Lytechinus pictus: one gene and its partner. Each later gene encodes a partner of the first gene's protein in a complex. Links are inferred from orthologs where the notes say so. Each region holds a gene or a part of one and is shown in the gene's direction. Other genes may lie near its edges.

The links.
Region 2: the proteins of protein fuzzy homolog (region 1) and ciliogenesis and planar polarity effector 2-like are in contact, whole or in part, in a cryo-EM structure (PDB 7Q3E), measured with the Mus musculus proteins. The link is inferred for Lytechinus pictus from reciprocal best matches to the Homo sapiens genes FUZ and CPLANE2. Residues at the interface, in NP_081652.2 of Mus musculus: Arg26, Arg35, Ile109, Val110, Lys126, Glu127, Arg129, Ala130, Tyr132, Cys133, Asp136, Gln215, Ala216, Ala217, Arg218, Asp219, Tyr220, Pro221, Tyr223, Pro232, Leu238, Thr239, Leu240, Leu241, Arg242, Pro255, Leu256, Gly257, Gln258, Pro261; in NP_001074643.1 of Mus musculus: Glu36, Gly38, Leu39, Leu40, Glu41, Arg42, Val83, His84, His85, Glu86, Thr88, Gly89, Ile90, Gln91, Thr92, Thr93, Val94, Lys124, Phe125, Met128, Glu134.

Annotation. Positions count from the first base shown.
Region 1 is NC_087260.1:17,862,030-17,878,449, reverse strand, and holds the start of protein fuzzy homolog, read left to right. Parts: upstream 1-9,220; 5' UTR 9,221-9,278; coding exon 9,279-9,428; exon of another isoform or gene 9,429-9,466; intron 9,467-10,924; coding exon 10,925-11,046; intron 11,047-11,934; coding exon 11,935-12,019; intron 12,020-12,350; coding exon 12,351-12,419; intron 12,420-13,268; coding exon 13,269-13,373; intron 13,374-14,146; coding exon 14,147-14,344; intron 14,345-14,985; coding exon 14,986-15,188; intron 15,189-15,939; coding exon 15,940-16,121; intron 16,122-16,420. Other genes in the region: uncharacterized protein LOC135157043, read right to left, coding at 1,032-1,227. UniProt on the Homo sapiens protein: Probable planar cell polarity effector involved in cilium biogenesis. May regulate protein and membrane transport to the cilium.
Region 2 is NC_087246.1:46,318,962-46,335,353, reverse strand, and holds the start of ciliogenesis and planar polarity effector 2-like, read left to right. Parts: upstream 1-9,063; 5' UTR 9,064-9,243; exon of another isoform or gene 9,244-9,301; intron 9,302-11,389; 5' UTR 11,390-11,417; coding exon 11,418-11,550; intron 11,551-13,285; coding exon 13,286-13,441; intron 13,442-14,829; coding exon 14,830-14,954; intron 14,955-16,392. UniProt on the Homo sapiens protein: Required for efficient primary cilia initiation, regulating a late step in cilia initiation. Plays a role in the final maturation of the mother centriole and ciliary vesicle that allows extension of the ciliary axoneme.

The DNA of each region.
Region 1 (16,420 bases):
TAGAGATTACATTCAAAAAATTTTGACATTCCGTCTTAATCCCTTCCCAAAGACCCCAACATTGATGAATTGGAAGAAACGGGTGTATCTCTTCAATGTTATAATAAGGACATAAGTATTTCGTTTGGAAATGGTGAACTGGCTCTTTATTTGCATTTAATGATTCAATAATATTATTTTATTTGTTAAGCGGTATTTTTGGAAGAATTTTCACCAATAAAACAATTATCTCTTGTGATTTTTTTTTCATTTCTTTCGTAAAAAGTGGGGGATGTTTGTACAGGCCATCCCCCCCCCCTCCTCGAAAAGTGGGGGGATATATCCCCCCATCCCCCCGGGATTTACGCCAGTGACTATTTACAGTCAACAGAATTTGATTCACAAAAAGGTATTCAGAAACAACTTTATGGCAAGACATGCATACATTATTTTGTATATCACATGAGCTTTGGTTAGAAATTTGCCTGCTACACATGCAACACACATAATAAAGCCATTAAAATGAGTTACAATACAAAAAAGGCAGATCTAAAGATAAAGGGAAAAAATAAGAATGAGTCCATCAGGGTCAATTCACAATTTATAATCTAACAAGAGCAAAAAAAAAAAACATGACCATTGGTAGTCCAAGCAGAGACAATCTTTGACAAGTCAAAATCTTTCCAAAACCTGGATTTATGTAATAAGTTTTTTTTTTAAATCTTCTTTCCACCTGAGGCATTCACAAGAGCAAAAACACGGCCATCGATAGCTAGTTCAAGCATTAATAGTATAAATTAAACCACATGAACGACAATAGTTTACACTTTATTCTTCTTGTGTTTATCGGGCTATCGTCCCATGCATTGATAGTTGAGCACAATATTTTTTTTTCATTTTAGTATTCAAGGCAGTTTGATTTTAGTGTCAAATCTATTTTGATCGTCTACATGGTCTACTTGAAAAATGTGTTGCATTTTGGCTTCCCAGGGCTTAGAATAAAAGCAAATGTGGACATGGTAGATACGGTAGATTAAATTGCTCTTACTTACGTGTTGTCATGCCTGTTGACATGGTTGGGGGCGTCGAAAAGGGGAAAAAATGTCCTTCATCAGGAGAAAAAGATGGTGGCGGAAAGGTAATTAAAGTGGTTCCCGGGAGCGGTATCGATGTCGTCTTCCCTGCGATGAGGTCCAGCATAGTCGTCATCGTCATCAAGACGGTTCGTAAAGTCATCATGCTCGTCATGTTGTTGTGGTTATTTCTAAGTGAAAAAAAGTAATCAATAAGTTGCATGTCTGTGCCTGTGCGGTGGCTTAAATATGCAGCGTACAAACTTGCGACAAGCGGTATTTTTGGCAGAAATATTGCTTTGTGCCTTTGCGCAGAACTACTCCCTGTTTGCGCATGAGCATGACACGTATAGTTGGAGCCAATTAAAAATGTTCAAAGATAAGTCTGCAATGAAAAGCCAAGTAAAAAAAATCTCAAGCACTGCATGTGTTTTTTTACTAGGGTATGCCTCATCCTCTCACATGCTTCTATGTTATTTGTAATTGATTAAATGATGATGCTGAATCAATTCAACTTGAAATCCCCCTTAGGCCTAAATAGGAATTACTATTGTTTAATCTTTTACGATTTATCTGCAGTTGCTTTGTAATTATATTTGATATAATACTAAATAGGTTCATTATTGCGGATTGAAATAATCGCTAGAGGGTATTCATATTTGATATGTTCAGTATTTGTATTCGTCTATGTATATGATGTTTTATATCTGTATTTGTTTATGTAAACGATGTATATGATGTTTTGTATCTGTATTTGCTTATGTAAACGATGTATATGATGGAAACGGAACAAAAATAAACTTGAGCTTGAACATGAACTTAAACTTTTGCTTGTAAAATATTCCACAAAGTCGATCAACATTCCTCAGCACTCAATATAGTAAAATCTGAAATCTACTTTCAAACTTATACTTCTATCCCACTGTCGTTCGATCCACTACGATTGGCCTTTTGTGGCTGATCGATCGCGAAAGATTTTGAGCCGTCCAAAATTTATTTCACAATCACGACGATCGCTACGAATGACCTCAAGATCTGACACGATCAGTACGATTGCTCCACGATGCAGACCATGGTTTACATCGTGGTACGAATCTTGAGTGGGAACGAGGTACGAGGCTACGTACAGCTTTGAGATTGAAAAAAGTCCCACGACAAGAACCACCTTCAGAAAGGAATCAGAATTAAATGAAACGGATGTTCATAAAGCTTTAACAGGTGACATGAAATGATGTAGGATTGAATTTCAAGATGAAATCATATACATGTATATAGTGCGTATTAAAAAACGGGACAGATTCGAAAAGTCTATACATTTTTTGTTTCAAATTATGATCTCTACATTTTGGTGTCAATAGGTGCTCTGAAGTCTTATCCTTCAAATGCCATTAAAATGATTTAGTTTCGTTCATGCTTGAGCGAACACAGAATGTTTTGTCTGGGGTTAAAAAGGAGGCTTGCGCCAAAATGGCATAAAATGATAAATATGATGGTTGGACTTCTTGCTAATCAGCAGACTTCCTCTTAACATTTTCATTATCTTTGCCATAATTTTCGAATTATGCGTTCAAAATTCATTTCCAAATATACTTATTTGCTTGAATTGTTCTGTTGTTCCTTTTAGCTTTGAATATTCCTTCTTTAGGCAAGAACATTTTTTTTTAACCGAAGTATGGGAGAGCGTGATTTTTCTCCAAATCCTTTGATTGTGTGCTACAAAGGTTATGGTTCCTTTGAACAGTGGCATACTGATGGGTGGGGGCTTAAGGTGCCCCCCCCCAAAAAAAAATCATGACCAAGAAAAAAAAAGTGGAAGGAAAATAACAGAAAACATAGAAAGCGAAATATGATATCATTTTCTGAATATTTATGTCAAAATCACAAAATTTTATATTTTAATAAAAAAAGTGGAAATATTTCCTTGATGGCTTCACAACTTTTTAATACATTTGACCCGATCTGCCGTATCTTGCTCCTTCAAAATTGACTTAATACACCATTGCCGTTGAAAGACATGAATCCTTTCCTGTTTGTCCTGTCAAGCACATAAACTTGGTGAAGGATTCAATAGGATTCATGTCTTTTATAGGTACCATAACATAATTTGTTTCACAAAATAAAAGGATTTGAATAATTACAAATTCTCCCAATTGATAATACAAATCTTCTTACTTGGGTTGACAAAAAGTTTACTTTTCTTACTTATGAAGGAAAATTCAAAGGTAAAAGAAGTTTAAATGAAAATCAAAATAATTCAGGTAAATAAATAAATTTAATTTCTCATTTCTGCCATTTTTGCGCAAGCCTCTTTTTGAACCCCCGACAAAAACGTCCCATCTTCGCTCAAGCATGAACAAAATTTATTTTTTTACATAGCATTTCAAAGATAACATCTCGAGCATTCATCAAAATATAGATAAAATAATTTGAAACAAATATTTTATAGACTTTTCAAAACTGTCCCGTTCTTTTATACGCACTGTATAGGTAATAAGTAAAAGAGGATGGAGTGACAACGAAACGTGAATTAATTTTTGTAGATTCCAATTTCTAAAGAAGTTAGGCATAAGAAGAATACCATGGTGCAATGTAGACTTTGGTGGCGACCTGTTTCATGGAAAAACTGGAAAATCGCGAATATTTCCAATTTTATTTGATCACAAAATGTGGATATTAAATACATGACAAAATATTTCTTTAAGCATTATTATGTCCTGAAATTGGGCGAAATATTGTATGATAACAGTTTCAAAATGTGAAACTATTAGTACTATTACTACTACTACTACTAAAAGTTTTTTTTGGGGGGATGCCCCTTCAAATCACGATACCATCGAGATAACAACGTATTTTTTTAATCAATTGAAACAAATAAAACATACAAACTAAAACATGTCAAGGGATACAAAATTAAAAAGGTTTGAAAAACCCGAACAACTTTGTATCCCAATGAAAATATAAATTGAAATATAGTAGCATCAAGATAAAAAAACCCCATTAGTTTAAAAGACAATAACGTAGTGGCAAGAAGGCACCGGAACAACAGGATCTTTATACTTGATATAGTAGATTTTACTTGATTCAGTATAATGTATTTTGTATCAATTTCCATGTAGGTCTATATACTTTAGTACTTATGATATGAACGGAAATTGACAGGAAGTACAGTGTTATTTGCAGGCTACAACAATTACTTCAGGTCATTTACATTCGAAGCTTCGGACATCAAATTAATAGTCCTGTAACCTACAGTACCATAACATTTCGGTTAACATATACATTAGCAACAAATGACTCCATGATTAGTCAATGAAGCTTTGAACCATTCGATCAATCAAGTAGATTTACTGTAGGTACACTATAATTACTTACTTAAACACTGTTTCTGCTGTCTTGCACACTGCTGGCGCGGGTTGCTTATTCCTGTCGACTGTTCACCTTGGACGTATGACCAGCTTATACCAAAGGTATTTCCCAATATAAAAACTAATACTTCAATGATATCTCTTTGTTGTATGCCCCTATACGTCATAAATATTTGTGGCAGAAATACCTACCTGCGAAAAAACAATCCGGTCACACTCACTTCACAATAACAATGTACAAACGCTAGTAATTCATGGCGTCAAACTTGTACCCCAAGGTTCTCTTTTTCTCTTCCTCTTATTTTTTTTTCTCTCTCTCTATATTGGTTCTCTTGTTCCAACATAATAGTGGAAAATGCATCCCTCCGTCCGTCATGTAAACATTACTCACACTTTTGAAGAAAAGAGGACGGAGAGAGAGAGAAAGAGAGGGGGTGGAAGACGTGGAGGAAGAGTGGACTGAGCAATCGGGTGATGTGCTAGGCTAATTAAAAAAAAAATCGAAACGAAAACCGACAGGTAGGCCTATATATTTCGTAAATACCTTAATGATAAAAGAGTCACAATGCCTAAATGCTGCAATAATTTGGAAATGAATTGGCTCCAAATAATTCGAAACATTTAATTACATTATTCTCATATTAAAACATGACAAATAATTAAAATCCAATCATACCTATACTTCAATTTTCTCTAGGAAATATACTCTCTTGAAAGAAAAGAGCCAAATTACAAGCCCTTTCTTTCCTCCATAACATTTCATCCTCATAGCTTTTGCATTTTCAGTTTAAATATAAAGGTATATTCAAAACATTCGTGTATGTATTACATACACGAATGTTTTGAATATACCTTTATATTACATACACGAATGTTTTGAATATACCTTTATATTTAAACTGAAAATGCAAAGCTGGCCATCGTCACATGCTTGTATTTATATTTAGCAAAATAAACATAACATGATTAATAAGAAACTAACGTTCTGAAACTCACACGTCGTGAGACTAATTTTTGCCCTTAGTCAACGAAGAAGCGTTTATTTTTTTCTCTCTATTCTTTTTTTTTACAATTGAGTATTAAGCATATGATTACACTTAATTGTTGGAGATGTGAGATCCACGCTATTGGGTTATTTTTTAAAATAGTTGTTTCGATTAGCCTAAAAGCTTAAAAGCTATAAACTGGGGGCCTAATCAAACGGTACGTGTCAGAGAGCACGTATGCGTTTGATTCGTCAAACCTAAAAAGCTGCTCATGTGGAAACTTCTAAATGGACTCGAGGCATACAGTATTATAGTTCTAATCATGATAATGGGATTTCGTTCAAGTCCTTTCCATTAAGGGTCATGATGATTAAAACAAAATAACGTTTTTGTTCTCCTTTTTTTCATTCATTAGTTTTAAGCTCGATAGTTTTTCATTTGATATCTGTTTCCATTGATCATAATAAGTGTTTACAGGGGCCGATGAACCACGGGGTGGGGGTGTAGCCTTCCCACTTTTTCAATAAACGTGAAGAAAATCCCATAAGTAAATCTGATTGTGCTTGTTTCATAGGTTAGCCACCTCCCTCCCCCATTTTCGGCCCAGCCCCCCAACTTTTAAAACCCCTGCCGCGGTCCCTGGCCTTGTTTGGATCATATAGTTTTTCAAATATCAGTGATGTTTGCCCGTTTATCTCCTTTATTCCATGCAGGTTTAGTATACTGGTTCCCATAATCGTGTGACAATAATGATTGCATAATTATATTGATATATTTTTTTTTAAAGACATAGCAAAATGCGAATTTAACACCCATACTTAGTCAGGGGACTGGGATTCAAGTGGGGGTAACTATTCACACCCCTGTCCTACAACGCTAAGGTATTTGGGACCTATATAATTGGGGACCTATAGTTGTCGAAGTTGTTTCCTGTTCAGAAAATATATAATAGGAACTGTAATTCTATGGGCCCACACACCATGCACATGTGCAGACCGGTATTAAAATCACTATGTGAGAAATTCTTGTCATTCAACTGTTATAATCAGGGGCGGCGTCATAAGTTGGGCTCTTACCCCCTCCTAATTTTCATGTCATAATACAGTGGTGCTAAAAAGTTAGTGACCCCCACCAGAAAATGCATTCCTTTATATGCTGAGTGTTGAATGTAGACAACAACACAACAATGTTTGGCGAGCCCAGAGAAACAAGCTTTATTGAAAGTAATATGTCAATTACTGACTTCACAATTAAATATCAACATGTCAGAACTTATACAAACACTTGAAATATGTTCATTTTCAGGTGGGGTTCGCTAACTTTTCAGCATCATGCACTAAGTACGTATTATTCAATTGAGAACAAAAAGTATGTCATCTTCATGTCGACTTGCCCCCTCCTCCATCAAAATAATCTTCGGTCCCCCCTGGTTAAAATGGTTTTACCCTTAGCATATATTTATGCTGATACAAAGATACAAATTGCGCGACCAGATTTAGTCGTGGCAATGTTTTTTTTTAAATACATGATATCAGCATAGACTTTACTTCATTTTCATCTTGTTTCATACCAGTATATCTTAGGGTAATAGAAACTATGGAGGCCATCTCTTTTGAGGTTGCCCTTGAAATTCGATCTGTATGTTGCCTTTTTAAATTTTATATTATGTAGGCCTATACATCATTAAACTGGCTTTGTACAACAAAAGCCTGATCCTCGAATCAGCCAGCATGTAATGAATACTTTGTATTCTATTTTTTCCCCAATAAAATAAAGAAAGAGAAATTATATATGTGAACAAAGCGGACCTAAAGAATCAATTCCCTAAATTTTGCTTTATAATCGCATTTTATGTAGTAATTCATCTTTCACTCGTTCAATCTCGGGTTTATAGCAGGGGCCGCGAAACGGTTTTCAAAGTGGGGGGCTGAGCCAAAAGTGTGGGGGGGGGGCTGACCATGCAAAAAATCACAATCCTATGGTCATTTTTACGTTTTTGTACACGCTTCCGCGGCCCCTGCATAGGTCAGTCACACCCAACCATTGCCAACGGGAAAAGATACTTAAAACGGCAAAATATTCGAAATGATGTGGATAGCAAGATTTAAAATAAAACAAAGAAAGTCACCAAAATGTTCATACACGCCAGTGAAAACGATTCGTCTAGTATTTTGATTGAATTGGAGGGTAATTTAATGCCTTTGTGAATATTGTCACCTGAACCTATCAACAAATTTGCCGGACTTAACAATATCAATTTTAAACGACAATAAAAATTATGCTGGTAGACGCATGTAAGATAAATTTTTCCATTTTCAGTTTTTATTTCGCAAGTATCATATTTTATCTCTCTCTCTTTCTCTGACTTCTATCTGCCTTTATATTTTTCTTATTTCATCCTTCTTTTTTTTGTTCCTTTTATTCTCCATACGCTTTTCCCGATTCCCTTTGTATATACTGCAAAAACTGTGGTGTTAACCGGTGTACACAGAGGACCACATCAGTTATTTTACACCGGTGTTATAAATTGACAGTGTTAGTTTAACACCTATAGGTGTTATTACCCCACACCTATGGTTGTTACATTTGCACTCTTTGGTGTTTATGTTCAATCTCTAGGGTGTAATTTAACACCTCAGATTGTGGTCCTCTATTAACACCAACTGGTGCCGGTTTTAACACCACAGTTTTTACAATGTATCTTTATCATAATTTTATTGTGTGTGATATATTTGTGATAATTCTCATGATTATTCTGAAAATATTATTTGGTCGTATTATCTTCTGGATTAATTTATAACTTACATTATACGATTCCTCAGTTGGAGGCGCATAATTATAGAGACGTTAATTATAATCAAAACGTGATATGTGCTATATAGAGCTTTTAATATTGTCATTCTTATTATTATTGTTATTATTATTATTATCATTATTATTAATATTATCATTATTATCATTATTATTATTATTATTATTATTATTATTATCATTATTATCATTGTTATTATTATTAATATTATTGTTATTATTATTTGTTATTATTATCATTAATAATAATATTAACATTAATATTTGTGATGTTCCGATCAGTTAGTAACATAATTCCTTTAGGCATCTCCCAAATATTTCTCATAAATCGTTTTAGTAGATTCCGTTTTTATATATACATGACATTTTCATTCTTGTACATATCTACATAAGTTTAACATAAGCCTATATGTGTGTGTCACTTCCACTCTGCAGCTATACTAGTACCATCTGTATGATAACTGCATATGCAACAATAACACATGCACACACACCCACACACCAAACATGTCTTTAAAATTTTGTATTTGTAAACAGAAATTACAATCATTTATGGTATGTTTTTCATTAAATCTTGGAGATTATTTTTTGTCATTCACCAGAGCGAGCGCTCAAAAATAGGCATAATTTTTATTATATTTGTGAGGTCCTCTATAATTGTGGGTATAACTGATGGAATATAAAAGAAATATCTTTCTATTAATACCTTGGATAATACTTTGGATGTAGGCATTTAAAGCTAATAATTTATTTGCCTCTCGATGGCTTATAATGAAGAATTCTGAACACTTTTAACGGCACTGTATACAGCATTTGAACATGGGCAGGCAAAACTTTCATTTGGGTCAAATGTCACTTTTCTGGAGATCCAATATCTCAATAAATTGAATGAAAAATAATAATATTCAGTATGATATTAGATAAAGGCATGAATGAGTGAAGGAGAATCTGATTGTGCCAAAATATAAGCATTTATGTCCCTCGGCCTATTCACGAGGAAACCGGGGATAGTAAATGTGATTTTTTTTTTCTAGTTTAAAGACACCATACCACCGGTCAAGTGTATGACAGATTTTTTTTTGACGCAGCGCAGACGAATTTTATCAACATTTTGGTTCACAAGACGTATATCTACCATGGCAGTGCATTTGGTGTGTCTTACAAACGAAGGAGGAGTTCCACTTTTTACACGAACCAAAGGAGATGTAAAATCCGTAAGATTTTTCCACAGATATGAATTTTACCAAAGAATGTTAGTTTGAGCCTTGTCGTACAGTATTTGTATTTGGCTTCGGTCCCACTCCTTAATTTTCGTGTGTCCCAAGTCAATGATTTTTAATTGGTTACTGTGACTGTGTGATCATGATCTGAGACTGAGTGAGAAGACTAGCTAAAATAAAGCTAGGACGTGGCATTGGAATAGGCCCAAAACAAAGGACAACATCAACAATATATAATAGATAGTAAAAGCAGGGAAATTTCTCTTCGAGGAGTCATTGCATTGGTTTTAATAAAAGCAGAAAGATGGAGAAAAATAAATTATTAATGCCAGCCCATAGGCATACCGGTAATGGTGAAAGTTTGAAAGTAAATGCGGAGATCGACAAGCATTCTGCCATTCATAAATCAAAGTGAAGTCAAGAAAGAAAATATGATGAGTATTTTTTTAGGTTTTTAATTCATGAAGTCATGTGAAGTTTACTTGGCTCACTCATTCAAATTCAATGATTTGAGCAGAAACCCAGGGAGCACCGGCCCGCGGAGCCCAGGACTCGTCCGATCCGTCTAATACTAGGCGGACATATGCTCTCCGAAATGGGGTAGAATGGGGTTGCAATAGCACTCAAAATAAAAGGGGAAAAAATAAATTATGCACTTACCTCGATTATATTGATGAAGGTCTATCGTGAAACACAGAATCCTGACATCGTCTGTGCATATCAGACCACACTCTCAGCGGAGACTCCGTGCAGTATTCTTAATCATAAGGTTGTAAACACAATGATTTCACTCTCTTGGTGGGAGCAATTTTCAGTCATTTACATGTTGATTTGGAGGACCCTACACGATTACAATCAATGTCATGTGGTTTATGATTAATTTAATTGAAAATAATTATTCCCCAGGTTGAGTGACATTGCATCTGTGGCCTCCTGTGGCCACTCTTTGATTCTGTATAGTCACAGAAAAAATTCCTGCTAAAGTACTGCTCTACATCCTTCAATTTTCGATGAATTGTACAGATATCTTCTATGATGTTGACTTCTTCTTCAGGAGATCAGATATCAGTCTTTTCTTGGACATTTTTTTCAAGTACCAGGATATTTCCTTCAGCTTAAATTTGCAACATGTTTATTCAAGATTCATTTGTTATTGGTTTTGGAATGGCATCAGTATTAAATGGATGCCTGGAACAAATATCTAAACTCCTGAGTGTTCAGTTTCCTCACTGACCTGACTCTCGGATTCTGTTTCCTTTGACTCATGTTTCCTAATATTAAAATAGACAGCTCTTTGAAGAAGTCCATTGACCATTGCAACTCCAGTCTTAAAAGCTTTGAATGGTGTTAATATCCAACTACATGTATCACCAACAAAAATGAAATCATCCATTAAGTTAGTATTCCTATCTTTGATGGCATTCAGAATCCAATGATTCAATCTTGAAAATGTCTTATCAGTGTTATTCTTTTTTCTCTACATTGAACAGCTTGCTTTTGCTGAACAAGGCATGCTCTACGGCGTTCAGATGTTTGCCCAGAACCATGGGGTAAAGCTGGAAAGTACAACCACTGAAGAGGCCAAGGTCATCTGGCAGGTGTTCCATGACAGGTAGCTACATTGACCATTGAGGTCAAAGGTCAAATACAGTGAAACCTATACATAAAGACCACCCAACCTAGGCCTTAAAGAGCAGGGGTGTTTCACAAAGATTTAAGTATGAATTAGAGTTGCAATTAAATGCTGACACATACATGGTATGCAACATGGCAATCTTATACATCAATATGCTATAGTGCGCATCCTCTGACTATTGCGGTCATGCTTTACAGCGTACATGTATATACCGAATGCAACTAGGCATTTAAGTGCAACTCTTTTTGAAGCACCCCCCAGGTTGTCTTCATGAATACGCCACTATTATAAACATTTTAATCTGGAAAACTATTCAAGGGAAACGAAAGTTATGACCTTTATAGTTTTGTGGTCCCATTTTATTGGGTTTACTACTTACATGTATATACACAATATGTTTATGTAATGAACAAAAGTAAATCAATTGACTTTTAAAATAATATATTTTATAGATTTTCCTTATAAATTGTGTTCCTTATGTTGCAAAATTAGGTTTTTTATGTTGCAAAATTAGGTCTTTTATGAACTGTAGCAACTAGCAAGGCATATTCATGGAGTATGTGTATATATATATATATATATATATTTTACTCTTTCTCCTTTATATTAATGTATTTTTTCAAAACGATTTTTAACACCATATTAAAAGTTCTTGCGTCGACACATTGATGTCTACACTGCAATTGTTATAAGGCAATTTGAGATTTGCAACGCAACTTCTAGGACATGGTTATCCCTTCTGTTGCACTTGCATATTACAGTATGTTTTGCCAGTGAAGGCATTACCGATATCCTGTCGATGATGCAATGCAGTACGTCGGTGGCAGCCGCGATTATTAATTAATTTTCTTGTTCATTCTACAGTGTAACCTTGGTTTTGGTGACCAGCAACGATGGAAGCTGTGATGTACATTACAATACACTTCTCAACCACATATTTCATTCAATGGTAAGTACTACTGCTTGTAGTTCACCTGGTGACATCCACATAGGGTTTATTATAGAATGGCAACATGCATATGGAATTACCGACGCATGACCAGCCATGCATCTGGTAAATTTGCCATGCGTCGGTAATTACTTATATATGGTTGTAAAAAAAATGGTTGTTTCAGGTTATGTTCGTAGGGCTGTATACCCTTGTAATAATTAGGATTCTACAGGAATATCTTTTTGTCTTAAAGGAGATATTCTGTCTTAATGGACCCATTCAGATATGATGATAATACTTACAAACATCCATGTTATCTCATATCATTTGTCCTTTCTTTCGGCTGCAGGTTATGTTCATAGGGCTGGATACCCTTGTGAGTATCAGGAATGTAGAAAAACTCCGCCGAGAAATAAAGGTGAGTCTTAAAAATGATATTTCAGCTAGCTTTCAAATTCTTTTCATGAAATTTTAAGTTGAACAGTTTATTCAGGATACATCATGCTCTTCTTTAAAGGATTGCTCAACAAGTGCCCTCTCAAGTGCCCTCACAGGTAAAACAGTCGGCTCACAGTGTGCATGTAGTCCCGTACATTTATTTATGTGTTCTGTCCAAATGACTCGGCAGGATTTTGTCAAGTATTAAGGTTATTTTGATAACTTTTTAATCTTGATAATTGCAAGTACAAAAAATAACCAACTGAGCGAACACTTCATGTATGCTTTTGTGTCACAGCAAACAATTTTTTTTGCTTCAAGCGGGTAACTATGTCATCATTGATTGGCATGTTTGAGCATCTTTCAACACCTGAACTTTTATAAAAAGTTTGAGTATAGTGTAACCTGCATATAATGTCTACTGAAAGGAACCCCCCCCCCCAAAAAAAAAAAAATAGAAAAAACAAAAACAAACAACTGGCCTTTAAAGACAACAAGTGGCTGCTTAAAAACAATTTCTTATACACATAAATTGCCTCAGTGGGAATAAGCTTTAGTGGCATTATAGACAGGTGGCTGCCATAGACATATACATTCATTTTGCCTCCATGGGAATTGGTTTTACTGGTCACTATAGGGAGATGGCTGCTATAGAGAGGTTTTTATCCACGCAATCTGCCTCCATGGGAATCCGTTTTAGTGGTCGCTATAGGCAGGTGGCTGCTATAGAATGGTGGCCCCTGAACAGAGTTTTGATCGTAACCACTCTGTAATAAGTTTAATAGTCCTCTCATGTTCACCCAAATTCTGGAAATTGTCTTTATATCAGGTATGCTATCCTGTTATCGATGTACTTCTTCAGGAGTCTGACATGTTTGGAGCTCTGACTTCATCAGTAGATGTCCTTATCTCACCAGAGAATACTACGTTACTGGTAAAGCTTTGATCAATTATGTTATTTCTTTGGGGGGGGGGGAGGTGGAGGGCAGATGAACTAACCGCCTCCCCCCACAGGGATTGCAAGCCCCAAGAGGGGTCGAGGAAATGAAAAATAGAAATGGGATCAATAAAAAGGGGAAAGGAAATGCAGTACCTAAGATGGATACGTGAACAAATGTTTAGATAAATGTCAACAGTGGGGCATTTCAAAAGCCACAACGGTTACTTGGGTCATTTGTGATAGGGAAATTGGAAAAATTATATTATTGGTATATGATTATGTTCTGTTAATAATAATGATCAATCAATTTACCCTTTTTCATTTTTACCAGTTTAATAAGTGAACACATTAAAAAAAATGCTCATTCTTTCTACAAAAATTAATTGTTAATCTGTTAAATTTATGGATAAAATATGGAAGATGGATATTTCTATGGATCATTTCATGTTACTTCAAATGTTTTATGAATATTCATGTAAGACATTCTAGCCATGTCATGGTTAACTACACACATATAGATAAAGGAAAAAATTGTATTATTCACTTTTATTTTGGAATAAGAAATTATTTCCTGTGACTTTTGAAAACACATTTTGCTTTTAATGTATGTTCACTCATGTATGAATGATGTGTCAATCAGATTTTCACACATACATGTAAGTCAGTACAGAAATGTAGGAGCACTTCTCCCTAACTATTTTTTCTTATTAGGGTAAAAATGAGGAATTTAATTTTTTGCTTGTTTGTTACTATTTTTTTCTAACAAGGATCCTTTGGAGGCCTTTGTCACCAGTGCAGATAGTACATTCGGTTGTCTTCATGCTGATGGCAAGCTGGTCGTTGCTACGTCCAACTGGTGGTCACTCAGTGGTCAAGAGATGATGCTAGTGGCCAAATTCATCCAGTCTCTGCCCGTTGGGACATCCAGTGATGTTCCCATCTATCTGCCTCACGCTAGCCCTAAGGTAAGCCATTAAAAAAAAAAAGATTGTGTGAAAGTGTCCAATTAGGCTTCATTTTATATCAAAGCTTAATGATAATGGCAAGTTGAAAGAACTGTTAGAAGAAGAAAAGGAAATGGAGAGTGAGGAAGATGAAGGGTAGACAGGAAGAAGGGGAAGTAAGGTTGAGGAGGGGAGAGAGAAAGGACAACAGTGAAAAAAAAATAGAAGGATGGAATTACGACAGACAGAAATAAGAAGGGGAAGAAAAAGGATGAAAATGAGGAAGGAAGGGATGAAGAAAAGGAAGAATGGAAGGATTGATGCAAGGTTGATGGAAGGAAGGAATGCTGGAGGGAAGAAAGGATGAAGAGATGAATGAAGTGAGGAGTGATGGAGTGAATGCAGAAAGGTAGGAGGAAGAGTAGGAGAAGAAGGGAGGAGGAAGGGGTGTCTAGAGAAGGACAAGGAGAGGAGAAGTAGCAGAAGGAGGAGATGAAGAAACAAAAGAGGATATGGAGGACTAGTGTCATAGCCAAGTGTGAACCCTGTCCTATTTGCCTGATATCAGAGGACTGGGCCCCATATGAGATCTAAACATTTTTTTTTTATACAAACATTTTGTGTGACATAGATTGAGCAATTCTGTTTTTGATATGTTTCAGGATCCTCATAGACTGTTGAGCATCCACCTCTTACCTGGTGTTGTAGTTAGTGTGCTGTGCTACGCGAACCCTACCCTATCCGAAGCAGAGGAACAACTCATCGAGCCATCGTGGAGGTCGCACCACGAAGCTCTCCGGGCAATCCAAAGGGCGCCCCCATCCAACATTCCAAGAACAATCCCTCTTGATGCTGGGATCTTGGGGTAATTACACACATATATGGTCTTAACTCTTTCCAGGAAGCCTGTTTTGTCAATATGTTATGTCTCAGCTGCACTTGCTAAACAACTCCATATGCATACCATCCGGATCTATCATCTTATTTCCAACAACATACCATCAGTCGGTTTGAGACTTTGGTTTTGTTTGTGTGATTGTAGAATTAATTTGTTAGCCTAATCTGTGTGAAAATTTAGGTGTTTTGTGGTGATATTGTTTTGGGGTTTATATTCATTTGGTCTACTAGCAGTTGGTTGGCTTCTCATATATTCTAAAATATGGGCTAAGTCCATCTGGTCTCCCTGCTGTGTGGTCTACACTAATCAATGAATCACTTAGTCTAATTCTCATGTAGTCAAATACCCAGCTCTAATTTCAACTTTCTCTACTTATTTTTTTTCTTTATTAAATTGATATTTGGTTAATGAACAATTAATCTCTTGTTGTAAGACCAAGTCGATTCATAAGAAATGGGTATAGTCACCGAATATTAGACACATTGGTGAATGGACTAAATAACAGTTAGACAAAATAATGATAAGACAGTCTGGTTGTCGACAAAATAGAATTAAGTGGGGTGAGACCAATCTGCAATTCACAGATTTGGTCGGGGGGGGGGGGAGGGTGCAGCACGGTTATCAAAGTTGTTAAGATTGCCATTGAACAGCGCAGCTAGAACTTATATGATGTTTGATCCGTTATCAGACATGTTCTTTTTTTATCTTTCATGTATAGGTATGTTTTATTGAATACCGATCAGCACAAGTGCCTGTCATCCATGCATCTTCCACTGATCGCAGGGGGCGCGGCCGAGCTGAAGCCCCTGCCACCGTACGCCCGGAGAGAGATCCTCACTTCGTTCTACCGTACTGTCGCTGGAGGACTCTTCCCGCCTTCCATCAGTCCAGAGAGGCAGGGTAAGAAGCAAGTGGTGCTGCCGTTTGAAGAGGAGAATGGGTGGTTATTCTCCTTCTTTTTCTTCTCATCAATATTTCATTCTCTTCCTCCTCCCAATTCTTATTCTACTTCTCCTTAATTTTTCCCCTTAATTTTTCCCCTCTTAATAAGATTTCTTCAGCAAAACTGATCATATTATTTGTACACATCAATATGTGGTCCCATATATTAATTTCTTTGTAGTATTTATGAGTCTTCTCACCTGAGCTTCCATTTTTCCAAGAATCTGTTCAAAAATTGCTTTTAAGCTTCACCCTAC
Region 2 (16,392 bases), on another chromosome or scaffold:
CTGCTCTCCAGCTCCCCCCTCCCTTCCAGGATGGTTGCATGGTCCAGTTTGCAAGATCTACATGTACATGTAGTACTATTTTGTTTATACATTGGTGCTCTTGGTGATTGTATTTATATAAATCTTTGAGACCAGGGGGGGGGTGTTTCACAAAGATTTAAAGGACAAGTCCACCCCAACAAAAAGTTGCTTTGAATAAAAAGAGAAAAATCCAACAAGCATAACACTGAAAATTTTATCAAAATCGGATGTAAAATAAGGAAGTTAAGACGTTTTAAAGTTTTTCGCTTAATTTCACAAAACAGTTATATGCACATCCTGGCTGGTATATGCAAATGAGGAGACTATGACGTCATCCACTCACTATTTCTTTTGTATTTTATTATATGAAATATGATAATTTTCTCATTGTCAAGTGGTACAACGATTAATTCCTCCCTGAACATGTGGAATTAGCATTGTTTAATACTATATGGTTCAGTCAAGTTGGTCCTTATTGTCAAATCTATAAAAAATGAAATATTGTATAATTCAAACAATAAAAGCAAAAGAAATAGTGATGAACATCATCGACTGACTCACATAGTTGTGCATATCATTGTTTTGTGAAAAATAAGCGAAACTTGAAAATGTCTTATTTTACATCCGATTTTGATGAAATTTTTAGCACTATGCTAGTTTGATTTTTCTCCATTTATTCACGTCAGCATTTTCCTGGGGTGGACTTGACCTTTAAGTATGACTTAGAGTTGCACTTATATGTCTAGTTACCTGCGGTATAAAAGGCATTGATCAATAAGATTGCAGGTTGCATTTCATGTACGCGTAAGCATGTAAGTGCGGCTCTAAGTCATACCTAAATCTTTGTGAAACATCCCCCAGATTAATAGTTATTCGTAAGTGTTGGTTAAAGCCAGGGTTACACCAAAACCAAATTCGGATGGTTTTGATAGATTCAAATGTTCCCGAATCATTCCTGAACTTTCCCGCATTCGCGGGGGAGAACAGAATACTTTCGAAACAACCAGAAGACATGTATTCGCAGCTGATATGGTTCCGGTCTAACCCTAGCTTTACAACTAAATTTACTGTGTAATAGATAATGACAAAAAATTTGTCGATATTCCTCAAGACATAAATCTTTATCACCAGAATCTCGAGATAATGTTATTATTCTGTGGAATTTCAGGGAGAGATTATCAATTTTTTTCTGAAAAAAGACTTGTTTGTTATATCCAAGTATTGATTGGAATTACATGAAAGGTAATTTATTTCCAGCATGATGATAAATATTTCTGAATAAGCGTTATCCTATGAATTCCATTTCTCAGGGCTAGAGAAATACATTAGAATATGGTGGCAGATTCCATCCAAAGTTCTCTCTTTTTTGGCACTGTGTGTGAGGTAGAATTCACTTCACGTTATGCATCTCGATGAAAGTGCATATCATTTTAGACACAAAGAAAGATGGAAGGAACTGATAAGAGCCAATCATGAAGAGTTCAGAGTATGCTTGATTGCAGAGTTGCATGAAAATTCTCAGTTTGAGAGTGAGACAATTCATATCAAGCATATTACGGTATGAAGAGTAAATAAGTAAATATCTATCTCTGCCTTCCACCTCCCTCTCTCTTTCTCTCCTTTCCAGGAGCCAGTAACACAATGTGTTCCCTCAAATTTCATATATCGATCAATGTTATCATGCTTAACTGTCAAACCCTAATCTTTGTGTTTCAGGGCCCTGTCCCCATTTACTTCTCTTTTTGTACTCACATTGTCCGTCTATCTATCTAATCTATCTATCTATCTACCTCTTTGTCTCTTTCTTCTTGGTATTCTCCGTCACCCTCCTATTTTCTCCCTCTACCCCTTCCCTTTCTTGTTTCCTTTGTTCACCAACAACTCTCTCCTTCTCTTTCTCCTCTCTCACTGTCTGCCTGTCTGTCTCTCTCACTGTCTACCCATCTCTCTGTGGTCTTCTCCCTTCCCTTGCCCCTCTCTTCTCCCTTGAACCCCCTCTCATTCTTTCTCATTTATAACTCTGTCGTATCATATTCTGCACCCCCCCCTCCCCAGTATTCTTGTTTTCTTTTCACTCATCAACTCCTGTCTCCGAAAAATCTGGAAAAGGATGACTACATGTTAGATGTCTGTATTGAAAGTCCAGTTACATGCATGGTGTCCAGCTTGTAGCGAGGGTGCTCCGTCTGATTTGATATGCCCTTTCAAAATCCCATTTAGTTGTGTTTTTAGATTACATCAGATCTTTTAGCAGTCATAACAGCCCTGTATCAGTGAAAAGCAACGTATACATTCCAGGGTTTGTTTGTGCAGCATTTGTGTTTTATATGGTGTTTTTAATCTTATGGTTTTGATTACTAGTGTGATGCCATGGAAGTTCTGGCTTAGCTGTGCTGTATTTTTGTTTTGTTTCGTTGTCACAGACAGTATTTTAATTGTGACCTCTCACCTGGTTTCTGATCGGTTTGTTCGTACGTGTCTTGATTGATTAATAGCATTGATAAAATTGAAGGAATGTTTTATGTCCCGACACTGCTTTATTTTGACATGGACCATGAATATGAACCCCCAAAATGGTAATATTCTATTTGAATCAAACCCCTTTTTTTTTAATGCTGTACCATATGATCTTGGAATGTAGGTTGATGGATTGTAGAGGCATGAGTAATTTTCTAATTATCACCAAAGGTATCTGAAACCCTTTTAAGAAGTATTATTTTTTTATGACTAATAGTAATATTAATACTAATGGTGATAATAATTGGTTCTTGTATGATGCTTATATCTGCCAGATACAACTCTTCTGGCATTTTAAAAATTCCCATAAAAATTTAAGAATTATCTGAAAATTTTCTGGCCAATTTGAAATGTAGGTCATTTGATGATTCTAGCATACTTTTATCTGTGAATTTAAAGATTGTATAAACTGTGTATTAAGACAAGAAATTTCCAATACTTTATTGAATATGATTTGATGGGTTGGAAAATCATGCTTAATGGTACTACCATACCAAGTTTTACTGGTAAAACTGATAAAAAGTGTTTTATATGTACTTTTCAACCAACTTAAGGGGGAGAGGGGGGTTGAAGCACTCAACTACATTGTTGCTTTTCACAAAGCCATTTTTACATAGGACTGGAGTTCCAACATATATTACCTTTAAAATTTGTTACATTTTATTCTAGGAAAAAAAGGGTGATTTTAGAATGATTTTACTATTTTGAAATGAGGTTTTAGCAATTATATAAATCATATGAATTTATTTGAAATATTAATCAGTGATGATATGTACTCTCTGTGTATAATAATATATTCCTTTTGGAGTGCTGAATTGTAAAATGACCTTTTGGGCAAATTTTTTAATGTTCCTAATGTACAGTCATATTTCCCCTAATGGGCCGTATGGCAAATTGAAAACAGCCGTTCTATTCAAACCACCTATATGTAGCTGGTACAAAAACTGTTAAAATGGCTGTTTTTGATCGCTGTACGGCCGCCGTAGAGCAAATGTGACTGAGGTATAAAGAGCCAGGAAATCCATTCTGAAATGAATAGAATAATATTATCTGGTATAGGTATTACATTACTTTCCATTGCTCCTCGATTGGTAATAATAATAATATGAGGGCAAGATTTGACCATTTCTGTCTCTCTTGTGCATTTTACGGGTCATTGCTTTCATATTCATGGTTTTTAGATTCAATATTGTGTGAAATAAAAACAAAAAAGAGGATTAATCGCTGGATGTGTGAAGATTTCATGGTAGTTTTTTCTACCGTGCGAAATGCGAGCATTGTTTGGTACATTTTCATTTCGTATTTTTAGAAAAGACTGGATGTCGAAATTCCCTCCAAAATGTAAAGAAAAAAAAAATGCAATTTTATATCTGTAAATCCTGTATGTTATATAAGAAATCTAAGTAACTTATTGTTAGTCATTTTGTACTCCTCTATCTGCATATCTTGAATGAATTATGGTAGCATTATTTATGTTTTAATCTAAGACTATCTAGACAGAAGAGAAGAATAGGAAACAGGACAATTTGTACTATATAAATCTGTGTGCTGTGTACATGTTGATAAATAAAATTAAGGAATGAGGAAAGGAGGATTGTAAAATACAAACTAAGAATCCTTCATTTACAGTGCTTTGATGGGGAATGGATATGTCTGAAAGTTGTAACATTTTTCTGTCACTAGCAGGTCATATTGTAGTGATATATGGAGTAAAAATCAACAGCAACTAAAACACTTGACAAGTTGTGTTCTTTTTGTAGTGTGTAGGTGTACTTGATGTTAGATAATAATCTTTCTTTGAAGACTCGTGTGAACAACGTATGCAGATCTGCCACATTTGTGTTGCATTAAATCAGTAGCATCCATCAATTCTTATAAAAGAAAAAAAGACCACCCAGAGACTCGTTCAGATGCTGGTCATGTCTCGCATTGACTTTTGCAATAGTCTTCTGTATGGTCAATTCAATTCAATTCTTTATTCCATTTCCATTCAAAACATAATACAAAGTAATATAAAGTAATACAAATCAAATACAATTTTACAGACGAGCATTCTTACTTCGTAAAAAAAAAAAAAAAGTATAATATTGAGCATAAATAGTTATGAGGGGGGGTCCACTAAAAAGCAAAGCTTTTAAAGTGTGGATCCCCCTTGGAAATGGAGAAAATATAACCGACTTATTCATATAAATTATGCGTTTTTATATACAGGAAAGAAAAAAGAGAAGGAACAAAAAGGTCAAAATCATATTGATGTATGGTCTTGATGCACAAACTGCAGAGAGTACAAAATTTATGAATGAATGAATGAATTTATTTATTATCCAATGCAATAATAATACCAATTTACAAGTTTACAGACAATCAGTTATGAATACATTGAAAAGCAAGGATAATAGGAACCAGAAAATAGCATGAATGCCTGTCAAGTCTGGCCCCTTCTAGTCTAGATAGACAGAATTTAGCTGCAAGGATTACCGGTATTGCATAGAGTAAGGCTCACCTCTATTCAAATTCATCTTCCAGCTAAGTGAACTTGCATTAATGATGAATCCGCATGCTAGAATTTAGGTATGCAAAAGGATTAAAATCTCCATCAAATGATAATGATGGCAATGGTGCTGATAATGATGATAGACTCATAATAATACGAATGAAATAATCATCACCATCGTCATAGTGATAATAGCAATAACAGCAATATCAATAATAACCACTGATGATGATGATGATGATGATGATGGTGATGATGATAATGGTGATGATGATGATGATGATGATGTTGATAAGGAGACGATGATGGTAGTAGTGGTGGTGATGATAAATATTCCATCAATTTTCCTTGGAGATAAGGCATTTTGGGTTACTTTTTTATTTTTAAGTGTTACTGTGAGTAATGAGGCAAGAATTTTGAGGGGTTGCATTTTGGATAGGGTGTAGATTTCTGGAAATCAAGCAAGACCCCCTCCAAAAAATAAAACAAAATGGAATTAAATAAAAATAAATAAAAATGTAAAAAATATGAAACTAAAAAAATGTAAAAAATATGAAACTAAAAAATATAAAAGTGAGCGATTTGTGCAGAATCTCTCGCAGATCTGGGGGGGGGGGGGGGGAAAGAAGAATTATTATGCCAGATATCGATGAAAATTCCATGAGAATCTTGACATTAGCAATAAAATTTGATAAAATATTTTGATACTATTTAAGCTCCAGCCCTTCCCTAAAATCTCACCATATTCCCTTGTGTTTGTATAATATATGCCAAAGCTAAGAAAGAGTACATTCCTCATCAGTAGAGTGTTCAACTTCAATAGTCATCATTCTGATGAATAATTTGCTATCGGGTCTTATATAGCCTATGCATAAAATATAATTGCTTTGTGTATTTTGGCTTGCTCGCTTTACAGTCTCATATTTTCCCACAAATATCCAAAGTTATGTAATGTCAAAATTCCTATTTCTGCTACTTGTCTTTGTTCCTTGCTCCCCTTTCCCTATTTATTCTCTCTCTCTCTGTAGAGCTTGTAGTGGGAACCACTCAAAACTGATGTGCACACTGTACAACATTGTTTTACTAATTCAATATCATGCGAATCCATCTGGGTAAAATGATACCCTTGACACAAAGACTTAGACCTCTCTTTTTAAAGGAGAATGAAACCCTTGAAACCAGCTGAATCCATATAAAAGAGAAAAATCAAAGAAACATATTGTTGAAAGTTTGAGGAAGATTGAATGAATAATAAGAAAGTTATGAGCATTTGAATATTGAGATCACTAATGCCATGTAGATCCTCCCATTGGCAATGCGACCAAGATCTGTGATGTCACACACGTACAACTCCCTCATTACTTTAGTACTTATTTCCCTTATATTCTCACTTTTATAGAGTCTATCACAAGGTGAGGTGTTCTCTTTATGAGAGGACAAGTACAGAGGTTTCACAACATTATATCATTGATGAATCGTTTGTCATATGATTAGAATGAGCAAAAAGAGATGTTTTGGGGTATATTTTCAGTGTCCAAAACTGGACAACTCTCCCCTTTTGGACACTGAAAATGTACCCCAAAACATCTCTTTTTGCTCATTCTAATCATATGACAAACGATTCATCATTGATATAATGTTGTGAAACCTCTGTACTTGTCCTCTCATAAAGAGAACACCTCACCTTATAGAGTCTATCACAAGGTGAGGTGTTCTCTTTATGAGAGGACAAGTACAGAGGTTTCACAACATTATATCATTGATGAATCGTTTGTCATATGATTAGAATGAGCAAAAAGAGATGTTTTGGGGTATATTTTCAGTGTCCAAAACTGGACAACTCTCCCCTTTTGGACACTGAAAATGTACCCCAAAACATCTCTTTTTGCTCATTCTAATCATATGACAAACGATTCATCATTGATATAATGTTGTGAAACCTCTGTACTTGTCCTCTCATAAAGAGAACACCTCACCTTGTGATAGACTCTATAAAAGTGAGAATATAAGTGAAATAAGTACTAAAGTAATGAGGGAGTTGTACGTGTGTGACATCACAGATCTTGGTTGCATTGCCAATGGGAGGATCTACATGGCATTAGTGATCTCAATTTTCAAATGCTCATAACTTTCTTATTATTCATTCAATCTTCCTCAAACTTTCAACAATATGTTTCTTTGATTTTTCTCTTTGATATGGATTCAGCTGCATTTTTTCAAGGGTTTCATTCTCCTTTAATAACATTGATTCCCTTTTCTCATTTCTCTGTTTGCTTTTTCTTTCACTGGTTAGATAAATCAAAGGAGATACCCCTTTTTTATTAGGTCAACAAGATAACAAAATATAACAAAACTTACATATGACAAATAATTACAATACTCATCTTATCAGATCATAAACACTATCTGTCTACTCGTTTCTTCTTAGCAAATTGCTAGAAAACTCAACCCATCCCTTCCCATCCCCTGGATTTCACGGCTGACTGATTTATATTTATTATAAACAGCAGTTTTCATATTAAACTAAACTCCTCAAAAAAAGTTTGGAAATCTGACTTTGATCGATAATTTCTCCTTGGTTGTAATGAATATCGATGTGTAATTAATATTAATGAATAGATCATTTAATTTTCTTTAAAATGATACCCTACATGATATGATTACGGTTCACATGGAGGTGCAGTGCCTTGAAATGTGGGGCAAGGTCAAAATTCAAAAGTTGCAAAATGACACAATATTGAGAGTCACTGTTCTTTTTTCCGTGCATGGTGATGAGTGAGTTTCTCAGCGGTTTTTTTTTTTTTACTTTGATCGATAATCCTTCCTTGGTTTTATCGAATATCAATGTGTTATTAATATCAATGAATAGATCATTTAATTTTCTTTAAAATGATACCCTATGATTATGGTTCACATGGAGGTGCAGTGCCTTGAAATGTGGGGCAAGGTCAAAATTAAAAAGTTGCAAAATGACACAATATTGAGAGTCACTGTTCTTTTTTCCGTGCATGGTGATGAGTGAGTTTCTCAGCGGTTTTTTTTTTTTTACTTTGATCGATAATCCTTCCTTGGTTTTATCGAATATCAATGTGTTATTAATATCAATGAATAGATCATTTAATTTTCTTTAAAATGATACCCTATGATTATGGTTCACATGGAGGTGCAGTGCCTTGAAATGTGGGGCAAGGTCAAAATTAAAAAGTTGCAAAATGACACAATATTGAAAGTCACTGTTCTCTTTTCCGTGGTGATGAGTGAGTTTCTCAGCGGTTTCTTTTAATTGTTTTCATGCACCTTAACATCAACATTAACATGCAATCAAACACATCATTGCACAAGCAAACACAAGAAATAAACAAATATGCATGGGTATTTCGAACCATCTTACATGTATCTCACAGAACCATCACTACATAAACCACAACAAAACATAAAGAAATCAAGAAGCAGGGGTTTTATTTGAATGGATTTCATCTCTATTGACACAGACAAAAGAATCATGTTCTGTATTGACCTTTCATGACTATTTCTGCTCGTTTTGCAGCTTTTAAATTCAGACCTCATCCAACACTTTTGAATCCTGGGGAGCGTTTCATGAAAGGACTTGTCGGACGTTTTATCCGACAAGTCCCATTTTATCCGACAGTTACCATAGTAACAGTACCTCACAGCCAATCAGAGTCAGAGAAAGATGTCAGATCTGACAACTTGTCGGACAAAAATGTTGATGAAACGCTCCCCAGCTCTTTTCGTGTGGCATGACCATAACAAGCATGGTATCATTTTAAAGAGAATTAACTGATCTTTTGAATGATGTAAATTATGAATTGTGTAAAGTTGGGAGTTGGGAGAAATTAATGGCCAAAATCAGATTTCCAAACTTTTTTTGAGGGGTTTATATAGGTTTAGTTTCATTTTCTTTCTTATATTTTTTTCCTCGCGACTGTTTTTTTCTCTCTTTTGATTTATCATTTGACAATACCTTTCAACTCGCAAGCTACGAACCTAACTAGCGGGCTGTGCGATCTACCTGCGCCAGCGGCTTCGGGTAGCAGCACATGCCATTTCCGTTATATCACTCGATTGATTCTTCCTCGCCGCGCGCTTCTGTTTTCAATTTCGTGCTGTTCTAACTTACTTCTTCAGTTTCTAGCTCTCAGATCAGGGATCGGACCATTTCTACACAGAATTTTCGAACATTCAAACCTGTAAGTTGATGGGATGGAGGGCTGACAGATGGAGCACTGACGTTTGATTGTCAAAAAAGTTAGTTAGTTAGCTTGTGTCTTGTGACTGTCTAACCCAGAGAGCTCCAGCCCGCGTAGCGGGCTGGAGCCCAGACGCTCAGTGTGCAAACGGGCATTCAGGTGAGAGTACCGTGAAGTTTGGTCAAAATAATTTTGATAATACATAATTAAAACAGAAATTAAGCACTTACCACGATTGTATGGATGATAGTCTAACGAGTGGCAGTTTCCTGACATCGAGGCACAGACTGGAACCTCAAAATACGATCAGTTCTGTCGCGGTAGCTCTCCTCTTTCAGAATTCAACACAAAATGGCCGATCGAGACCGAGGCTAGTATAGCACTAGCGCATATAGACTTTGTCAAATTCGCGCATGCGCCCTACACCCTCTCGAACGGCCATTTTGCTATGAATTTTGAAAGAAGGAGAGCCACCGCGACAGAACTGATCGTTTTTTGAGGTTCCAGTCTGTGCCTCGATGTCAGGAAACTGCCACTCGTTAGACTATCATCCATACAATCGTGGTAAGTGCTTAATTTCTGTTTTAATTATGTATTATCAAAATTATTTTGACCAAACTTCACGGTACTCTCACCTGAATGCCCGTTTGCACACTGAGCGTCTGGGCTCCAGCCCGCTACGCGGGCTGGAGCTCTCTGGGTTAGTGACTGTCATGACTGTGAAAACCAGTCACCAGAAGAAAAAAAAATTAAACATAAAAAATCATTCACAAAGACACAATCATCATTATTATGACATGGGAGTTTGAGAAAAAAAGTAAACAAATACAAATAGAATAAGAAAGTCATGAGAAAGTAACAAATATTTAGAAAGGTAATCGTTTGTGTTGCCAGTCAGCAGTAGACAGCTGGCAGCTAGCCGTCTGTTTTGAGGATTTTTAAAACATATTTAAATTGTTTTTATTTCTCCTCGCACACAGACGGCTCGCTAGTATCGTGCTCCCACCATTATATATTAGGGGATTAACATTGCAAAATCCCCCCGATTTGGCTCATCGATTTTTGTCATTTCATAAAAATGTATAAAAAGAACTGGACCAAAAGAGATTATTAAATTCCATTTTGATATCCTTGTTCTCTGGGACAATCCCAATTTTTGGACCAGCGCCTCTACTGGTCAGAAGTGACACACGACCAGTTTTATTGGAGACTCTTGGCCAAAATTGTAATTGGGCACTATGCATGCTGCAGTTTTGCACCAGCCGACTTCAAGCAAATTTCCCCTCCACGAAATGTCATAGCAAGTCTCTCAAAACTAGTGGTGTTACTGTTAGACCAAAAGCTTCAGTCTCTGTACATTGCCTTGGTTGTTCCGCTGAAATACGTTGGCTCCACTCACCAATACAGGTGAATAGGGACAGTAAAATTGTAAGAAATTGTTAGATAAATCCCCAGACCCCAGAAACGACGGTTATTCCTGTCTAGTCTCTCAAGCACATAGGTCAATTTCCCTGCTGCTTATAGTTATATTGCGATTGTAAACGGCTGTATTTCGGCTTTGGTCTCTAAGTCATCGTTCAAATTCTCAGACATCACTGCGCTTGGCTTTATATGAGGAGGAAATTTGCTGGAGACTTGCCAAGGATTAATACTATAATAGAAACCATACCAACGGCCAAAAAGAATATTTTCCACCCCAAATTTTGTCTCACTGAGGTCAGAAGCCTATTTGTTTTGTGTGAAGATGACAAAAATCCTTATGAAACAAAAGGAGTAAATTTGAAAGTAGACTGAAAAGGGGTAATTTTTCATGAGGAATCTGATTGCCACATTGATTAAAATAAAATTTTTAATGTAAATACATGTATGCCATTTTTGCCCAAGTGTGGGCCCCCTTTTGAAAGTCACAAGATATATTTTTAATGGTTATATATGTCGTTCAAAGACAAGTGAGGACTTTTTGGGGGGAGCTTTTCAAATTTTATGTGGACAAAATGAACTTGAGTTTTGATTGAAAACCTTTTTTTTTTTTTTTGCCTCCCTTTTGGAAAATCCTGGATTCACCCCTGTGTCAAATGATACAAACTTCATTGAACTAAATTCTGTGTCATGTGTGAGCTATGTACAACTTTTTTTTTTTAAACAGATGTAAGTAGTCTGATGCAAAGACCCTGATGGAAGAAGAGAGGTCAAATTGGTCCTTTCACACTCTTGGTACCTACATCAATCATGATGGGTGGCATAAAACACAAGAGGGTAGAGAATACTTTACAAGTATCCTCAGACATGGAAAAAGGAGAATGTTTGGTGAGTACCCGGGTATTGAATATTATGATTGGCTACTCGAAGGCTAATCGACTTTAGTCAGGGAAGCGTTTCATGAAAGGACTTGTCAGATGATAGGCTATATCCGACAAGTCCTGGGCGCCGTCTTACAAAGAGTTACGATTGATCCAATCAATCGTAACTATGGAAAGCCAGCAAACAACAAAATCTAAAATACATGCTTGTCCAAAATATTTTTTAGAAATGATGTACATGTATATTCATACATTCACTGTTTTTTTTACAATTCAGTATGCTTCTCTTTGTTTTCAAAGGACATTAAGCAAATTTCCTAAAGAAAAAAATTATGACATTGATGGATTTCCATATACTTAAGATTGATTGGATCAATCGTAACTCTTTTTAAGACGGAGGCCCTGTTTTATCTGACAGACCGTAGGAACTGTGCTTCTCGGCCAATGAGAATAAGGGAAAGTTGTCAGAACTTGTAGGGACAGTGATTTTCCGTTTCAAAAAATTGCCTTTTCCGTTTCAGAAAATCTCAAATTCCGTTTCAGCATGTCAGAAAACGGAAATTCCGTTTCCCCATAGACTTTGTACACACGGAAAAGTGACAATTCCGTTTACACATGAATAGCAAAATCACAACACGTACACTCGCACTGGTCAAAATTTGTATCTGCTACTGTACCAACAACACAATAGAATCCGTTCTAATCGGATCTATGCGGGTGCATAAAATATTTTTACAAACCTATTTAGCATGCATACATCCTCACCTTTCACATTATTAGCATTATTTCACGGTGAAATGATATTTCATCGATAATTTTGGGGTTTTTTGGACATCGTTAGCATCAGTAAACGGCTTTTGCCAATCCGCCATCTTGGATTTTAAGACCACGATATCGTGCAGTTACATCTTAAAACGTAGAGGGCAGCAACACACGACCGTGTAGTTGAACGATATGTGTGCATGTGAAGCCCCACCCGGCCGGCTGCGCGGGTACCGGTACGAGTGCGGGGTACAATCGAGTGTGGTGATGTCGAGTGCAGTCACGATGTGTGAATTGTCATGATAGTAGCGAAGTGAGATCGTGTTTTCTGGGGTTTTGTGGCCATTTAATATTCTCATTTTGTTGTGATTTTGGAGTAATTTCTGTTGCTATTCTGTGTATTTTGAGGGAAAATACGTTTTCCGTGATTTTCCGTTTGAAATGCCACTTTCCGTTTCAAAAGGCCCTTTCCGTGAATTCCGTCCGTTTTCCGCGATCGCGGAAAATCACTGTCACTAAACTTGTTATATGAAAAATGTTGATGAAATGCTCTCCTGATCAAGAGGCCTTGATTTTCATAGAAATAGCCTATTCTTCAAGATATCGTGGGAAGCACCCAGTAAATAGAGAATTTTCAAATTGCATGATATTTGTGCATATATTGGGTATGAACTTGTAGGGTAATGTGGTTACAGGTCAAAGGTCACCAAGTTTGGTGCATCACTTCAAATGTAGCTTAGTATATGCATAGATTATTAAATTGAGAGTGAATGATTCTATTGTACTTGTGGAAAATGCTTTTCTTCAAATCAAATGAGATATGTAGCCCTATTAATTGTGTATTTGAAATTTTATAAAATCAGAAGATAATATTGATGTTTGGAAATATAACAGTCTTTGATTTTTGGAAAGTGGGTCAAAATTTCCCAAATATATAGGATTCTAATTCCTTGTTCAACTTGCATTTTTATTTTCATCAGGCTGTCTGGACAGTCCTTCATTACCGTCCCATCTAGAGCAGCCCAAGATATTAAAGTATAAACTGTGCTTGGTTGGGAAAGCTGGTGTAGGAAAGAGCAGTACTGTAGCTAGGTTATGTGGGCAGCAAGTAGCTACCAACCATGTGGAAACCCCAGGTAAGTTTAAAGGTCAAGTCCACCCCAGAAAAATGTTGATTTGAATCAAAAGAGAAAAATCAAACAAGTATAACTTTGAAGATTGCATCAAAATTGGATGTAAAATGAGAAAGTTATGCTTTTTCAGAAAACAGTTGTTTGCACAACTCAGAGATATGCAAATGAGAATGTCAATGATGTCCCTCACTATTTTTTTTTTATTGTTTGAATTATACAATATTTCAATTTTTACAGATTTGACTATATGGGCAAACTTGAATGAACCATAAGGGCAATTCCATAAAATGATCAACCTTTTTGTACGTCTGACCCCCATTTTTCTTTAGTTTTACTTCACATCATAAACTGACCAACTCATGGTCATTTGAGAACATTACAGACTGTCAAAATAACAATAAATCAGAGACAAAAAATTCCATGAAGGTCCCCTCATTTGCATACCAACCAGGATGTGCATATAACTGTTTTCGTGAAATTGAGCAAAACTTAAAAATTTCCTAACTTTCTCATTTTATATTTGATTTTGATGAAATTTTTAGTGTTATGCTTGTTCGATTTTTATCTTTTTATTCAAATAAACCTTTTGTTGAAGTGGACTTGTCCTTTAACCATGCATTTCTCTTTAATATGTCATGGTATTAAAATCTATTTGTATATTTTGTTTTTAACCCTGCTTTTAACCTATTGGGATACAAGGCTTACACCCTAGTCACCAAATATATAGAACATCATTGTTGTGTGCTTTGTAATATTCATGTATGAACAAACAATTGTCCTGGTTTTGATTGAATTAGATGATGAATGTGAGAGTTAAAGAAATGCTCATTAGAGGATCTTATCTGGAGGAATTTTCCTTCTAGGGGAGTTGACCTGTGACGATTTTACTATGATATCATTAATTGAAAAAAAAAAAATTACAATACATGTATCAAATATGATGTACTTCATGTGTTGAAAGGTGGGAGATTAGCATTAAAAAAATTCAAAAAAAAATTAAATATTTAGTATAGTTTTCTTTTAGTTATGATTGTTGTCCTTAAAATTAAGAATATGTTGGTGTTAATTACTTGACTGATGTTTTTTTTTTTCTTGAATTTTGAAGGCATTGAATTTAAATAATAGATAATAATCAGATGATAGAGACGTGTAATACCACTTAAATATTCTCTATGCATGTGGGTTTATTTTAATATTTTTAGTACTTAGGCTAATACAAGTGCTCCTTAAAAATGTATGCTTTTAACACAGATTTTAATCTGTCATTGTCTGTTATTGATCTCATAAAATAAGGTAGGTTGATCCACAATTCTGGTGCCATTTTCCCAAAAGCTCTTTTACCAAAAGTCTTGGATTTTACATGTATGTGTTTATATCATGTGTTTCGTTAGGTATTGTTAAAGCTGTGACATACTGGCCTGCAAAGCTGAAGCATTCTGGGAAACCTGTCATGTTCTGTCTTGAGTTCTGGGATGCTGGGCATGCTGTCCAGAGGAAGTTTGATCACATTCATCCAGTAAGTATTACTGAAGTACAACCACTGATTCACATTCAATTAATCTAAAAATAGATGGTCAACTTCTCATATTATTTCACTTTCATTCATGCTCATGAATGGAAAATGTGAAAAGTTTCTCGACCACTTGATTTCGCTATTTACTGGAAAATTCTGTGACATTTTTCCTGTAATTCTACTCAAAAACCAACAAAACCAATAACATGGATGGCCAAAGAAACTATTCTTCTTTTATAAAACATATTCATAAATGTCACTCAGCTTCCTCATGGTCATTTGCAAAATTTATGTCAGTTCTACTCGTGACTCTTTCTCACTGGTTTCAAGTAAAATATTGTTTACTTGGGGGAGATTTCGAGGTCATCACAAAATGAAAACTTGCCAATAATTGCACTGCTTCAGATTGCCAGAGAGAACCACACATTGAAGTCATTGTTAATGTAATCATTAAAAGAGGTATACTAGTATTATACCAATGATATGAGATATAGATGTATATTTTCCCTGTTGATGAGGTTCCTTTGATTGTTGGTGCCTGCTCCCAACTTTTAAACTGGATATTTCAACTCGATAATGCGATTATAAACTGCTCCCAACCAGGGATGTCTTAAAAAGGATACAAATGTACCCGCATAGTACCAGCTTTGACCCCATGTGATGAGCTGACGACAAGATGATGTGTTTTAAACAGGTGTTACAACAATGCGTTTCAGGTGTTTCAACAATAGAAACATTTTATTTTGGCGACAGTTTCTCAGATCAACAAGATAAAGTCAGATTCATATTTGGCTTGTCCAGTTCTTAATGATTCATTAGTATGTTTGTGGGCATGACGGGTATCAGCGAACAGAAATAACCATAATTCAAATAATATCGAAAGTTAATTATCTTAGATTCATGCAAGAACATGCATGAATTATACACAATATGTTCATAATAATACGTCTTCCATAATGAGTGAGCTCTAAAATATCTCATATTGGATAATGCTGAAATTAGTCAATTTGTAAGTAGTTCATATTATATTGGCATGCAAATATCACAAGGGCTTCCCTTCTGCTGTCCATGACTTATTTGAAATTTGCAAAAGAAATGCTTCTAGAGACAAAAATAGTAAATACTGATATTTCGCTTCTGCAGAAGCCAGACGGCTCCGAAGGGTTAACATCAGGATGCCACATGGAAAATCAACCCCCCGTGGAATATGCTTTGTCAATGATCAGGATGCTTTATTTTCCTGTATTGTGCTTGAGTTTTCTACCCTTCCTATCACGGCCATGCCCCAGCTATACAATTACTATGAGAAATAGATAGCAGCATGTATCCCACTGGCAAAAACGATTCCAGTTATTTGGAATGAATATTCAAGGTGTGTGGTATATTTATAATATATGGTGCACAGTCAAGAATCCAGCTAAAGTTTTCATATATATGTTTT